Linked DNA regions of Tamandua tetradactyla. The protein of the gene in region 2 binds, or shares a complex with, the protein of the main gene of each other region. Links are inferred from orthologs where the notes say so. Each region holds a gene or a part of one and is shown on either strand. Other genes may lie near its edges.

What was found. Proteins that work in one complex are often made in the same cells at the same time.
Region 1: the proteins of IRGQ (region 2) and GABARAPL2 are in contact, whole or in part, in a crystal structure (PDB 8Q6Q), measured with the Homo sapiens proteins. The link is inferred for Tamandua tetradactyla from reciprocal best matches to the Homo sapiens genes IRGQ and GABARAPL2. Residues at the interface, in NP_001007562.1 of Homo sapiens: Asp7, Thr9, Leu11, Pro47, Leu49, Phe57, Pro70, Trp71, Glu74, Pro181, Ala182, Gln183, Asp184, Gly185, Phe186, Glu187, Val188, Leu189; in NP_009216.1 of Homo sapiens: Ser10, Glu12, His13, Cys15, Val16, Glu17, Ala19, Lys20, Ile21, Ala23, Lys24, Tyr25, Arg28, Pro30, Lys46, Lys48, Tyr49, Leu50, Val51, Pro52, Phe60, Ile63, Arg67, Phe104.

The regions. Positions count from the first base shown.
Region 1 is NC_135342.1:70,248,811-70,256,714, forward strand, and holds the start of GABARAPL2 (gamma-aminobutyric acid receptor-associated protein-like 2), read left to right. Parts: upstream 1-4,206; 5' UTR 4,207-4,343; coding exon 4,344-4,377; intron 4,378-4,707; coding exon 4,708-4,763; intron 4,764-5,896; coding exon 5,897-6,069; intron 6,070-7,904. UniProt on the Homo sapiens protein: Ubiquitin-like modifier involved in intra-Golgi traffic. Modulates intra-Golgi transport through coupling between NSF activity and SNAREs activation. It first stimulates the ATPase activity of NSF which in turn stimulates the association with GOSR1.
Region 2 is NC_135342.1:21,194,639-21,202,540, forward strand, and holds the start of IRGQ (immunity-related GTPase family Q protein), read left to right. Parts: upstream 1-4,650; 5' UTR 4,651-5,155; coding exon 5,156-5,273; intron 5,274-5,463; coding exon 5,464-5,995; intron 5,996-7,902. Other genes in the region: ZNF576 (zinc finger protein 576), read right to left, coding at 1,944-2,428, 4,022-4,123, 4,354-4,378. UniProt on the Homo sapiens protein: Autophagy receptor that specifically promotes clearance of misfolded MHC class I molecules by targeting them to the lysosome for degradation.

The DNA of each region.
Region 1 (7,904 bases), about 49 Mb from region 2:
CTTTTCATTTCTTTTTCTGGAGCGATGAAAATGTTCTAAGAAATGATCATGGTGATGAATATACAAGTATGTGCTGATATTGTGAGCCACTGATTGTATACCATATATGGAATGTTCATATGTTAAGAATGTTTGTTTGTATGTTGTTTTGTCAGTAAAAATATTTAAAAAAGAAAGAGAGAGAGATAATGTGAAATTTGTGCTGAGTGGAGTCCGGTAGCTGGTGCCCCTAATTTGAAGGCAACCTAGAAGTAGCTACTAGATGAACAGCTGCGATTCAAACATACAGAGATCAAGAGCTGCCCATTCTGGAGAACTATCCTCAGGGTCCTTACAAGGGTCCAAGATGACATTGTCCTCAACCATAAAATATGACTTTGACATAGTCCAGTACTCTCATTCTTGCTTTTAAAGCTTTTCTGGGGTGGCAACATTGCTTTTAACTTCAGCAATTTTTGTGCTCAAGTCTATGGTTTGATTCTTAAAAATTATACTGTGTACATTTTAAGTGGATGATTTTCATTTACTCAAGTAGCTATTAAAATAAGATTTTTCTAGAACAGATGCCAGATAGTGCCTCCTGAGTGTGGCCCTGTTACTGGACAAAGGCCGTGGATTCTTTTGCCCGACGCGCTCAATAACCAATTCCTGAGACACCAGGGTTTCAAAGAGAGATAGCGTTTATTATGAGGCATGTAGTACAAGAATAGATGGCTTAGCTGTCCCAAATCTGTTTCCCTGAACTGCAGTAATTCTGATAGTTTTATTAGAGAAAAGATGGGCACGGTTTAGAATAATGAGCACAATGGCCCCAGATGATGTAATTAGAGGTGATCTAATTATTGAGCTTGTGCAGATCGATTACATGCTTAGTTACAGAACGTGTGTAAGAAAATGATGGAGAGGTATAGGTGTCTCACAGGTTAAAGTCTAAGCTACTGCACATGTCAGGCAGACCCGCTTTTGTTAGATCCAGTCTCTTTTATCAAGATAACTTTAGATTTGGGGTGGGTTAGTTCTGGTCCAGACCCAAGATACTTCATTAATAAATATTAGGGGCTGTCTTTAGTTATTACAAGACTCTAAAGTTGAAAAACTGGATAACTTGGTAAAATGAAGATCAGTCACAGGGTTTTTACAATCACAGAGAAGATAAGGGCTATACAATCATTACCAGGGATCAGGACAGTTCAGAGATTTCAGGTATTTCCCTCTGTCCAATATGCCATAAAGGAAAAAGGAATATTTATATAATGATTCAGTAATCAAAGTCATCACTTAAATCCTGGTTTCTTGGTTACAGTCCTCTTTGGAGGAAAGAGGCTTTGAAGGACTGCTGAAGGAAACATACTGTAGCTAGTTTCAATTTAGTTACTGCTGAAATAGAAGCAGCTGACTGCTAAGAATGTAGGTGCATTGAGTGTTTCAGCTTCTGTGAGGTGCATGAACTTTACACAAGTATTTATTATGGGAAAAGACATAAAAAAAAAAGTAGGTAGGGAGAGAGGACAGAAAGACACTGCACATCAATGAAACCATCAGGAGGCAGGACCATGAGTTGGTGAATGGTGGATAACTCCTTTCCCTGAGAAATATACTGAGTTCTCATGTGCAAGGTGATAGATACATGCCTGGGACCAGAACATAATTACCAACTCTGTAAAGGGAAGCAAGAGTCTGGGTCCAATTTCTAACTCCTCTGCTGATTCACACATTATGAGAAGGTGAACAACCATCTTCACTCCTTGGGGGTTAATTCTATCCTTAAAATAGATATTTTTCCCTTTATTTTCACTCACCCTCTAGCTCTCACCTAGTTCCATAGCTTTAAATACTTCTCCCCTGAATCTGAGACTAATAGATCTATTTACCAATTTCACATCTTCATTTGGATGTCTTTTGGATCTGTTTCTTGGGCATCTTTTGCTTAATATATCCAAAACCAAACTCTTGACCCCACTTCAACAACACTGGCTCCACCCTATTTCAGCAAATGGCAATTCAATTCTTCCAACAACCTCGACTTTGACTTCTAATACACACCCATATCCAATCTGATAAAAGCAATACGTTTCATACAATTTAGGATCTTAAAGCATTATTAAGTAATTCTTAAACTGGGCAGGATTCCATTCAGAAAGTAGAAGGAAGCGCCATTAAAGGGGTGAAAAAGAGAAGCTCAGACAGGGTGAAAGCAGAAGCAAGCAAGGAAATGTTCTGCTTGGCTGCTATTAGTTTCCATTTTACATAGAGGAGTCTTACAAAGTGGGGAGCAGATATAAATTGATAGTATGGTATGCTTGTCCATTCTGATAAGCTTTCTCTACTGGACCAAAGCAATCCTGTAGGGTGTATTCCATTTTCTCAGAATTGTTTTTGTCTTCTAGAAAAGCTTTTTGGGAAGGGGTCTTCTCCTGGCAATGCCCAAAGTGGGTGGTCATTTCATTTTACTTAAATGTATCGGCCAATTTTGTAAGCTCTAACCTTCAAAATATATCCAGTATATAATTACTTCCCACCACCACCATAGATACCATCCTGGTCTAAATCAACATCATCTTTCATGTGGATTATCACAACAGCTTCTTAACTTGTCCCCTTACTTCCACCTTCACCCCCACCCCCCACCATAATCTACTGTCTACACACAAGCAAGTCTGATCATTTAAAAAGGAAAGTCCTTTGCTCAAGTCCTCCACTAACTTCCCACCTCATTCTGAATAAAATTCAAAGTTCTGTCCATGGTATATGAGGCTCAAAACCTCTTTGACCTCCTCTTCTACCACTGTCCTCTTTGTTCCCTCAGTTCCAGACACACCAGCTCCTTCCTGTTCCCATAATATGCCACCACTCGATCCATAAAGCATTTTATCCCACTATCACTCTTTAGGTCCTTACCCTGCTTTACTTTTCTAAACAGCACCTCTATTTATATGACATATTTATTTATTGTCTTGTTCCACTAGAATTTTAGTAAACTCTATGAGAACAGGGATGCTATGTGTTTTGCTCACTGCTGTTTCCCCAGCACCTAGAACAGTGCTCCCGTATACAAAAACACCTGATTTCTATGTATGAAATTAAAAGAATTTTTCACGTTATTATCAACAAACAAACACTCACCTATTTTGGCTGCTCAGACATGCAGTCTTAAAATAACAAAAATAATTTTAAAATGAAGCTAGATTCAACAGCATCCATGGAGAATTTTAATTGTAGGAAATGATGAATGATAATATTCAAATACAGGCCATTCAGATGCATCAGAATCACAAGCACGGGGTAAGGGTCATGTGCCCAATTAAGTGAATATTCTTATTAAACATTCACCAGCTCATAAATAGATGATGACCCAGACTGGACTGCCCTGATGACTCTGCTTGGAAGAAGGGGATTACATCATGGATTGGAAGGCGTCAAGGCATGTGCTGGGGCAAGTGACACACACACACACACAGCCCAGGCTGTGATTTGCAATCCTCCATCTGCCAAACAAGGAAGCCCGACTCCTGACCAGCTGTCACGGTAATTCTTCGAGACTGACAGTCACTAGGTAAGGTTAAGGGGTCTCTCTTAGTGATCAATAAAGTTACATTCCTCAAATGTGTATTTTGATGCCCTTTCTTAAATGTTCATCAAATATTTATGTATGAATAAAGGAAGGAAATGAAAGTTGTTCAAATTCGATTTCTACATCGAAGGCAACCTATTATGAGTGTCTTCCAGGTTGTCTCTAGTACACCACTCCCCACCCCAGGCTTCTCAAACTAGTCACACACTGTCATACCGAGCCACACCTGCCCCCCCCTCCAAACAATGTCAATACCCAAACAGACCCCCTTCCATCGTCAACCCCAGAAACCCAATGTCTTTTATACTTCCAAACATCCCCTCCTGTCAACTAACACCCTAATCAGACCTCCCCATCAAAAGCCCTCTGTAATTGCCCTGTCCTATTAGCCATACTCCAAACTCCCCTTCCCATAACTAACGTCCACCCAGACCCTGCTCCTGTCACCGTTTCCCGGAGCATCCTCTCCCGGAGTCACCAGCATCCCTCACAGACACACCTACGCAGCAGGTAGCCAGGTAACCGTCCCGGCGCCCCGCGGAGCCCCTCGCGGGGTCCTCCAGGCCCCTCCCCTTCGTGTGGCCCCGCCCCCTGGCATGGTGCCCCGGCAAGTGGCGCCGGAAGCCCCGCCTCCTGCCCGTTGCCAAGCTCGGGCAGCCGGAAGTCCCGCCTGCCGTGTAGTCGCCGCCGCCGCTGCCGTCGTTGTTGTTGTGGTCGGTGCGCTGAGTTCCGCGGCTCGGAGAGCCGGCTCTGTCCCTTCGCCGCCGCCGCCATGAAGTGGATGTTCAAGGAGGACCACTCGCTGGGTAAGCGCTTGGCCGCCTGCCGGGCCGTGGGGGTGGGGGTGGGGGTGGGGGTGGCGGGTGGGCCCCCTCCCCCACTCGGGCTGTCCTGGGTCGGGCCTGGCGGGGCTGATGCTGTGCCCTGGGCTTGGGACGCCGAGGCCCCGGTCCCTGGATGGCCGACGCCGGCCCCGTCACGCCCTCATTCGTCCCGACCAAGAGTCAGGGGATAAAGGACAGCGACCGCGGGGACGCTCGAACGAGGGCCCGGGACGTGCGCAGGTCGCGGGGTAGGAAGGTTGGGGACTCGATACCGGCCGGCGTGTCTGTCAGCTCCGTGTGTTTCCCCTACAGAACACAGATGCGTGGAATCCGCGAAGATCCGAGCGAAATATCCCGACCGGGTTCCGGTGAGTGTTCGGCCTCCCCCGCCCCCTCACCTCGCCGTCACCCCTGCCGTCTAGGGTCTGTGATTAGGATACTAGGCCATTCAGCAGTTGACAAGTTGAGGTTCCAGTCCCGGTTGTAGTAGCAGAAAGGCTGGACTGTGTTAGGGCGGTCAGGGGCAGGGCGTGAGGGGCTCGGGTTTCTGCTGTTCAAGGTTTCTCGGTGCTGAATCTCCTGATCTAGGCCAGAGAGCTGTCTGCAGCCTCTGGGCTCCCTCGCCAATTATATAAGGAACGTTGTTCTGGGACAGGGCAATAGGTCATTGCCACTTGGGGGAATAATGGTGGAGGAGGACTGTCACTTTGGTCTTAGAAGTGGTACTTCAGTCTCAGAACATTCCTTTTTAACTTCAAACCTCCATTTTTACATAACCTCCAGCTTCCTTTCCTCACTCAGACCCTGCTTTCTTTGACCAAAAAAAACCTGAAAGCCACAAAAGAATCCCTTGTCCTCTGGTTTCCCTTTAATAGACAATAAGTATGATCCTGTATTTCTTCCAGGGTGGGGAAATATTGGTTTTCCCAGGGAATCAGGCCTTTTATTGTAGTTCTTTGCCTGTGAACAATTCTTTTGGAGAGAGAGCAGGAAGGACATTCAGACCTCATTCAGACAGAAGCAACAGGCCAAACGAAGAGCGTGGTTCTTGGCTGGCTGGGGTAGCTAGTCATTCTTATTAGTCCATCCCTCTTTGTTTCCAGGGCTCCTTGGGATATTAATTCTCCTGTAGTGTGAAGCAGATCCTGTCTGGGATCCTGGGGTAACAGGCTTTAGATAAAATCCTCACCAGATATTCTCCTTTCTGCTCAAATAGAATGTTGAAAAGCTTAGTAGTAAGAGCTGTGTTTCTCTTATACAGGCTGAGATCAGGGATGAGAAATACAGTACGTGACCACAGAAAAGCACTTACCATTGTAACACGTTTATGTCATTTCTCAATCTCCAGAGTGTGTGGTTTATTAAGATGGGGCTTATTTTCTCATGCTACTCAATTTCCCACCCACCTCCTAGCTCTTACTGTATTTATTAGCTTCCCTGACAATGTGAGGCCAGAGCCTCACTTTAGAAATCCAGTCCTAACTTCTCTTTACTTTCTCAGGTGATTGTGGAAAAAGTCTCAGGCTCTCAAATTGTTGACATTGACAAACGGAAGTACCTGGTTCCATCTGACATCACTGTGGCTCAATTTATGTGGATCATCAGAAAAAGGATTCAGCTTCCTTCTGAAAAGGCGATCTTCCTGTTTGTGGATAAGACAGTCCCACAGTCCAGGTGAGAGATGGTCAGTAGAAGGGCCCTCTGGTAATGACCACTGTTTGGCGTCTTACAAACTCAGAACTTTGAAAGTGTGAATACTCTTAAGGGTCTTGAGTGAATATCTGGATTTTGTGCTTCCTAGCATCAGGAGCCCTCCATGAAAATGAGGAAGGGCAGCAAGACATGGGAGCATACTTTAAGTTAACAAAAGAGAATTCAGTCCCTGTTTTTTAATTCAGGGCCTGAATTTAAAAAAAAAGAAGACGAAAGAAACCCTGCCTTAGAACCCCAAGAATCTTTTAAAACAGTTGAGGACTCAGTTTTAAGCCATAGCTGGAACTGATGCCTCAAATAAAGTTTTCTCTAAATGATCTGTGAAATTAGACCTGTCACTCCACCAGGAGCTTGTGGGCCCTGCTGAGACTGAGACTCAGCCTCAGCTATTCATCCTGCTACTTGCTGTCTAAATGCAGTTAGCTCTTCCCACTATGAGAATCTATAGGTCCCTGATCCTCACTCAAGTCCATTAAAATGGCTACTGTCCAGTCAAGGGCCCTGAAGTCTCTACAGATTAACCCTGTCTTGGTGCCACCTGCTTTGACTGTCAGAGGAGCTCCTGTGCTCTGTCTTGCTACCTGAAAGCAATCTTTGAGGTTATAACTTGGGACCTAAATCTAGGCAGGGCGTTACAATTTTTCCTCTTCTGTGAGGTTGACAGCTTAGCTTTAGTTCCCTGTGGAAAGGAAAATGGACTGGTTCAGTCTAAACCTCTGGACTGTCCTTTACTGTTACTGATTGTGTGCTTCTCGCCCCTGAGTGCGAGTTCCTGGCTGTATTTTGGTAATCCACAACTAACTCAGGTGTTATTTGTTACTCTAAAAGTAGTATATCTAACTAAAGCTGGTAACTAGCCCACTGTGGCCAAAATATGCTCCCTTTAAAAATCCTTGAAAGCTCCAGAAGAGGGCTAAGGCAAATACCAGACCTGTTTATTCTTAAGTCTGATTTCCTCTTTCTCAATCTCCATGTCTTCATTTCCTCGTGTTTGGCAGAGAGGCAGGGCAGGGAAGAAATAGAAATCTCTTCTCTAATGCCAGTGTCCTGCCCACGAGGTACCATTTGTCTTCTTCAGCTGTAACTTAGAAGCTGCAGTGTTGCCAGAGGTGATTTAGTCACCCCAATGGGCTCTTCCAGCCTCCCTGCCTTTTCCACAGGCCTCTGGGCAGTGTGGTGCTGGTGTACTCTTACCCAGGGAGGAAGCCCTGGCCATCTGTAGTTGCTCTTGGCTTCCCTTAAGGTGGTGGGGAGATAAATTTTCTTTTGTACCACCTGGAATTTCAGTAGGTTCTTGACAACCCTATTTCCTTGTTCTTGGAGATGGCTTTTTAGAAGAAGTAGGTGACCAGGACCTGTAGCATCAAGTTTATTTTTCTCAATTCTCATCCTCTGATACTTCCTGAGGTAAATGAAGTAGGCTTCTAGAGATTACTCTGAAGGCTCCATATTATCCTAGTAGTTAAAATGGCTGCCCCTCCCTCATTATCCCTGAGATATAAATAGAATTGGAAATGAAGTGATTCTTTTGGGATGGTAGAGGCTGCTTCCTGGCCATTTTCTCTCCAAGTCTTATTTGCCTTTTAAGCCAGTGAGAATCCCACCCTAAAGCAGACTACATTAGTGATCCAAGTCAGGATTTTAGGAAAAAGTAACCAGAACCCCAGTTCTGACCCTGCTTCCCCAATTCAGTTTCAGAGACCTCATGAAGAGACTATGCCTTCTGGGTCTTCCCTCAGTCACTAGCCAGGGCCCCTCTGCCCAGGCCCCAGCCTCAGCACATTTGGTCCCAGCTA
Region 2 (7,902 bases):
TGATGCTAACTAAAGTCTTGGGAATCTCTGACATCTTGGGAGTGTAGAGAGCATAAGAAGTCGAGGGTGTACTTGGGGAGGCTGTTGTCTATCTCAAGAGAGCCTTAGATTTGAGATAAGGGAAGCCATGCTAAGACATCTAGGTTGGTAATTTGTGGGCTTTTACCAGGTGCCAGAGGAAATGTTTAGCTTAGCTGATGTTGACATTTGGGAAAAAGCAATGGCCATCTGAGTCCAAGCCTGTTTTTCCTTAAGTCCCCCCAGCAAAGAAATCATCTAGCCCTGTCCCCAGTCCTACCCACATACACACATAGCCTGTGAGAAACTCTGTTTCCTAGGGCAGGAACCCCTACTTCCAGATTCAGAGTAGGTTTTATGTCTATTAGTTAGGCAAGAGGATGGCAAACTTTTTTTTTTTTTTTGGTAAAAGGCCAGGTAGAAACTATTTTAGGCTTTGTGGACTTTAAAGTTGGTCTCTGTTGCACCTGCTCAGCTCTGCTCTTGTATGTAGCTCTGGACACTACATAAGTAACTGAGCATGACATGTTCCAATAAAACTGGAAATATTTGCAAGACCATGCAGTAGCAGAATTTAGCTGTAGTTTGCAGACCCCTTGCTTAATCTGTAAATTCTGCTGCATGTGACAGAGTCCCCACACAATGGTGGCTAAAACAAGATAAAGGTTTATTTCTCACATAGCATGAAAATAGTTTGTACTAGGGCTGGTGTGGCAGCTCTGTTCCATGAAGTCATCTAGAGACCTAGGCTCCTGCTGTCTTGCTGTCCTCATGATCCAAGATGGCTCACCACCATGTCCACTTCCCAAAGCTTGAGGACACTTCCCAGAAATTATACATACCACACTCTGTGTCCCACTGGCCAGATTTCAATCACATGGCCATATCTAGCTCCAAGGGAATGTGAGAAGTGTCGGGTTTTTTTAAGCTGCCATCTGCCTAGCTAAAAACTGGAGCTCTCAGCCTCCACCATCCATCTGAATTGAACAGAAACATCTGTCAATTCAATAGAGCCTATGATGACTGTATGCAGGGCATCAACCCTGTTTCCAGGGGCAGGGCAGGTAATACAAGGGAATAAAACTGGCCAGGTGGAGCTCCTCACCTGTCTGGTAGCTTCTGCCCTGCCCCTGCTATAAGTCTAGAGTTGGGCCTTTCAGGAGAGCTCAAAAACAGGAGCTTAAAAGGATATCTCCAAGTATTTGCAACATTGACCAAATAAAACACGAAACAGAAGGTATCTTTGATTCTAAACCAGTTTCCCACAGGGCCAGGCCAGCCCTGCCCTGAGCTCCCACCTCCCTCCTTATGTTCTCTGGGATTCCTGCTCAAAAGCCAAAGCTCCCTGTTTAGATGTTTTAATTTAGAACTTTTCTGTTTTTAGATACTATTCTGTTAGTTTATTCATTTTATGCCACCTCACCTACACATATAAAAATATTCCATGCCTAGAATAGTATGCAAAATTATTCAAATGGTACATAAATTATGAGAGGGATTGATGCCATCCAATGGGGTGGCCCCTCCTTGAGAAGGAAGAGCCAGAGACTCAGCTTGCAGCCCCCGTGTGACTCAGAGTCCAGCTTCCTGCTCTGCTGCCCCAGCCCCAAAGGCCCAAGTTGCTCTGCATTAGAAACACTGCAGTCTTGCAAGTCAGCCACACCTCATCTTCCCTGTAGCCCATTAAAGCACAAATGCAGTGCCCTTTGCTCCAAAAGCCCATGGCACACATCTGGGAAGCATGAAAGGTTATTATATAATCTGCAGCAAGCTGGGATTTAAAGCTATTTAATTGGAATGAGGGGAATACAAATAACATTTTTGATTGAAAACAAAAGATCTCACTGTTAGGCTGATTTCACTCTTTCCCTAAAGGTCTCCATATTCTCCAAAGACTGAAGCCCCAAATGAATATCTTTCGGGTCCTATTTATCAGAAGCCCTTTGCCTTCCTGGGGAGGGAAGCAAATCTCTCCAAGGCCCCCAGAGCTCCCCTCGGGCGTGCTGGATGTAGTGGTGGTGCAGCCTGGCTTCCCAGACAAAGTCCTGACCACACTCGGTGCAGGCAAAGGGGCCAGAAGCTGTGCGGGCCTCGTGGGCCTGGCGATGCCGCCTCAGAGAAGAGGCCCACCCAAAAGTCTTGCCACAGTCAGGACAGGGGAAGGGGGGCTGGGGAGTCGTGGGTGCAGTCGGTGGGGAGGACCTGGTGGCGGGACCATGGTTGCGCTGATGGACGATCAGGGCCTTGGAGGAGGGGAAGGAGCGGGAGCAGATGAAGCAGATGAAAAGGGCCCCCTGCAGCTTCTGGGCCACAAAGTCCGCTGGGTGCTCCCGCTTCATGTGTCGCTCCTGGAACTTGGAATCGATGAAGGTGATGAGGCAGTGCGTACACTGCAGGGCCCCTGGATGGCCTGAAGGATGGGGAAAATGTCAGGAGAAGCCAGCAGGAGGCTCCAGGACCTCTCCTGATCCCCGAAATCAGGCCAACAATAGCACCAAGTACTCACTCTAGGCCAGGCTCTATGCCTGTGCTGGACAGAGTTATGAGGGAACTATTATTAAACCTGTTTTATAGATGAGCAGACTGAGGCTCAAAAAGTGAAGCAACATCCAGTAGAGCCAGGATGGAACCCAGGGAGTGATGGGCAGCAGCAGTGTGGTGGTAGAGGCCAATCTCCACAGCCAGTCTACCTGGGATTGAATCCTGGCTCCATCACTTCCTAGACATTGGTTCCCCCCTCTGGAAAAAGAGGTAATAACAGTATCACCTCATAGGGTTGTTGGGAGGGATAAATGGGTTATTTTCTTTCAAGTACCTGGAAAATATATATGTGCTATACAGCGGTCTGCAGTTATTACTACTGAGAAAAGCAGCCTGACATCCCAGAGCTGGTCTGGAACCCATAGCTAAGTCTCAGTGTTCTGTTGAACATATACAATTTCAACAGAACATGAACATCAGACAAGACCATGCAGAGACCTTGAAGAATCAAGACAAAAAACGAGACCATGCTAAAGTCATGTCTGAACACAACAAAAACATGAATCTTGTCCAAATCACAAAAATGACCCAAGATCCCCCTATCCCGGCTAATGGGAGTGACTGCTGCTGCTTTAACAATCACAGCTTCAGCCTCACTTTGTTCCTTCTTCCCAGATAAGATGTATTAAGATGTCTAATCAGAGAATGGCCCCTGCTTTCTGACAGCATCCAATCCACAACAAAACTCTGCTTCCTTGAACCCTCCCCAAACCTGCCTAACACAAACCCTAATCCTATAGTAAGTCCTTTTTTATACCCTCTGAGACCACCCACAGCTCCCCCTGGTGTGTGTTCTCCCTTGCGGTATTCAACTACAGGTGTGTTCCTGGTGGGTGGTCTTGGGCTGGAGGGCACTGACATTACTGCTCTCATGCTTATTAATCCTTAATCTCTCTCTGCCTCAGTTCTCTCATCTGTAAAGTGATAATACCAATTTCATTAGGTTTGTTTGGAGGACTTAATGAGATAGTGTTAAACTCAGAGTGCTGTCTGGCACATAAGTATTCAGTAGAAGTGCTTGCTATTAAGTCAAACGGCTATCGTTGTTAACATCCAACTTTCTCTTTTTCTGCAGCAAATTCCCCCCAACAGCTCTGTGAGATGGGTAACGGCAGCTCCTTTTGACAGCTAGGGTAATGGAGGCCCAATCACACAGCAAGTCCAGGACAGAGTTGTGGCCAGAACCTCAGGCCTTCTCTCTCAATCTGCCCTTTCCCATCTATATCTCCCACCCCATGCCTGTCCTGGATGTTAACGTCTGCCTCTGAACCACATCCCATTCCTGTTTCTGTGGCAGGAGCAGGGTGGGTGTACCTGAGGGTAGTGAGGGTGGGGAGAGGCAGTTCCTGTTAGGCAGTTCAGGGAGGGACCACATCCCACACAGCCTTGAACACTGAAATGCTGTAGAGATCCTTTTAGCATCAGTTCCTGTTCCCCACCCTCTCTGGCTAGAAGTACTCACAGATGTCACCTCCCGGGCTGCGGGAACTCCTCTCTTTTGACGAGTCCTGTTGCTCCATGGTCTTTTGTGGGTGCAGGTCCTCCATGGAGACTTGAGACTCCTCTAGTCGATAGAGGAGTATGAATGACAGAATAGTAAATCAAGTGAGGCAGCTCATCTGTCATCAGCCTCAGTCAGAGGGCCCGCTAATCCTGTGACCTCTGACCGCAACAGAGACTCTCCATGCCAACCTTTGACCCCCATGACATGCCATCTCCTTGAACTCTAACCTGATGAAAACTTCCCAAAGGATTCCACTCCCCAAGTTCGTGACTCCCCTATAGCCTTCTCACCTGTGTGACCTATGACATCCTGCATGGTTCTAACTCTGAATTCAGAGCGTGGGACCCTTGATTTCTGACACCAGCAAGTCCCTCCGATCCCCGTCTCTCCCACCTGTCGTAGGTCTGGTACGTGAACTCTGGTCCCACCCTTTAGCCCGCCTCTTCCCGGGAGACCTCCTCCTCTGGCATCCTGTGACTACTTCTACCTTCCACGCACGCCTTCACCCGCTCCGTGTCCCTGTGTCCCAAGCACTGCCCACGGTTCCCTGCTCCCGACTTCCGGAGCCCTCTGACTTTCTCCCTACAGCACAAGGCTGCCTTTGGCTGCGCCTACCAGTCGTTCACCACAGTTGCCGCGCCTTTCCGCCCCGTGAGCCCCTGGAAGCCGAAATCCCAGATTACCACCGGGCAGCGGCGTAGCCGCGCCAACGCAGGGCTCCGAATGCGGGAGGGGTCCTTCTCCGGCAGGGGGAGCGTTATGATGACGTCGCAAGACGCCATTGCCGTACAAACTTAAGCTTTTTGCGTACGGATGGTTAGGCGCTCGCGGTACGCAGGCGCTTTGGCACCTTCATTGTTCCCCGCCCAGATGTTCCAATCCAAGCTTTCGAGTCACGCCTCTTCCTCCAGGGACTGATATCAAAACCCCTGGATCGGGTCCCGACGTCCCCAAATCCGAGCGCTCTGGTCTCTCCGTCCTCCGTCTCCCGGAGCACAGGAGCCGGGCTTCTTAGGGCCTGACCCGGCCACCACGAACTGCGCTCGCCCGTGTGTCGACAGCTCGGTTAGTGATTTGGAAGTGCTCCGGGAAATGGTGGTGGTGGGGGGTGGGGGTGGGGAAGTAAAATACTCAATATCGCCGAGGGAGAAGGGGACTCGAGCCCGCGTTTCTCGAATTTTTGAAGCAAACGCTTGCGTCCGGAAAGATGGTAAGCAGGATGCCTGCGTACCTGGGGAGTTCGGCCTGGCGCCTGGGTTTCTGGATCCTGGGGAATGACATTGAGGAATGGGAGGAGGGGTCGGGGCGGAGGACTGATTCTGGGTACGGAGTGGGGAGACTAGGAAAGAAAAGGGCTGGGGAAATTCCCTGATCGGGGTCTTTCCCATCTTGCTTTCCAGCCATGCCTTCATCACGGGGTGACGTTACTGCTTTGTTTCTGGGGCCCCCGGGCTCCGGAAAGTCTGCGCTGATCACAGCGCTGTGCGACAAGGATGTGGAGACACTCGAAACCACCGAGGAAAGGCCGGAGACTGGGGTCCCCATCCTTCGGGCTGCCGGCCCAGGCCTCTTCCTGGGCGAGCTGAGCTGCCCACCCGCAGCGCCGGGAGCGTGGGCTGCAGAGGCCAACGTGCTGGTACTGGTGCTGCCCGGACCCGAGGGGAACAGGGAGATCTTGGCGCCAGCGCTGGGAGAGGCGGCGCGTGATGCCTTGGCCCGGGGGACTCCGCTGCTGGCTGTGCGGACCCTCCAGCCCGGGGATTCACAGAATGAGTCCCGGGCCCGGGATGAGACAGAGGCCTTGCTGGACAGCGCAGGATTGGGAGCCGCGACTCTCTTCGTGGTGCCAACCCGCTGCGGCAGCGGTGACCGCTGCGAAGAGCTGGAGCGCCTGCGGGCGGTGCTGGAGAGCCAAGCGGAAGCTCTGCAGAGGTGAGTGCGAGAACTAAGGGTGGGGGTGGGGAAAAGGGCCCTTAAAGTGCTTGTTGAAGTCTGCGAGGACTCAGCTCCAGTGAATTTTGGGCAAGCTGTAAGTCCCATCCTTCAACACAGGTTTTGAGGTCAGCAAGGCCCCACTCCAGGCCAGGGCTTTGTGCTTGGCCCTTTTCTGTCATCTGCGCTCCACCCCCAACTAAGGGTCAGCTCCTGGTCCTGGCCTGTGCCCACTTGCTGGCTACCTGCTGCTGAATTTTTTCCCCAAGCCCCATACACCTCATTTTATAGACAATCAGAACTCTCAGAGAGGTAGCTTCTTGTCCAGATCTAATGCTTAACTTTTTTCCTTATTCTCACCCACCCAATGTTGCCTTAGCCACACGTCCCAGGTAGGAACTAGTAGATGAAGCTTCTCCCCTCACTGGTTGTCCTCTTTCCCGGCCTCAGGACAGAGCACTCTTTGGGACCTTTTCCATGTCAAATAGTGCTGCAGTACAGGCCCAAGTACAATCCCAATTCTCTTTTTTGCTCCAAGCCCACGCCCTGTGAGCTTTGCCTCATATAAGCCCTGCCTCCAAATTCCATATACCCGATAGTTTTTTTTCTCAATGTTTTTATTGACAAATCTTCACACATGTACAGTCCATACATGGTATGCACTCAGTGGCTCACAGTATCATTGTATAATTGTGTATTCATCACCATGATCATTTTAGAACATTTGCATCACTCCAGAAAAAGAAAAAATTCATACATCCCATATCCTTACCCCTCCCTTTCATTGGCCACTAGTATTTCAATCTACCCAATTTATTTTACCCTGTATGCCCCCCTTTTATTTTTTATCCATATTTTTTTACTCATCTGTCCATACCCTTGATAAAAGGAGCATCAGATACAAGATTTCCACAATAACACAGTCAGTTGTACAAGCTATATCATTATACAATTGTCTTCAAGTATCAAGGCTACTGGAACACAACTCAAAAGTTGTTTCAGGTACTTCACTCCAGCCACTCCAATACAACATAAACTAGAAAGGGATATCTGTATAATGTCTAAGAATAACTTCCAGGATAACCTCTTGACTGTGTTTGGAATCTCTCAGCCACTGAAACTTTATTTTGTCTCATTTCTCTCTTCCCCCTTTTGGTCAAGAAGGCTTTCTCAATCCCATGATGCTGCATCCCGGCTCATCTCGGGAGTTCTGTCCCACGTTGCCAGGGAGATTCACACCCCTGGAAGTCATGTCTGACATAACATGGAGGGCAGTGAGTTCACCTGCCAAGTTGGCTTAGAGCAAGAGGTCACATCTGAGCAAGAAAAGAGGTTCTGTAGGGATTACTCTTAGACATAATTAGAAGTAGGCTTAGCCTATTCTTTGCAGGAATAAGTTTCATAGGGGCAAACCCCAAGATCAATGACTCAGCCTATTGATTTTGTTGTCCCTACTGTTTAAGAAAATATCAGGAATTCCCCAGATGGGGAAGTTGTATATTTCCTCCTTTCTCCCCAGTCCCCCAAGGGGACTTTGCAAATACTTCTTTACTTGCTGTCTAAATTCCTCTGGGATATACTGGGGCATCAGACTTATCTGAACAAACCAACAAGATCTCACACCCTGTTCAAGATTCCATGTACTAAATTTAAAAAATGTTTTTGCATGAGGAAGAACAAAGGAATGTCATTACTTCCGGGTGCTGGAAATAGATGGTAATCAATATTTTAAAATTTTACCTTATGTGTGAGACTAAAGCAAAAAATGTTTATTTGGTACAAAATTTATATTTTGACTAGTGCATTTCCTAATATAACTTACGTAGACAGCTTAATTGAACACCATAAGTACATGGAACCTTGAGTAGGGCATGAGATTTTGTTGGTTTGTCCAGAGTGATGCTCCA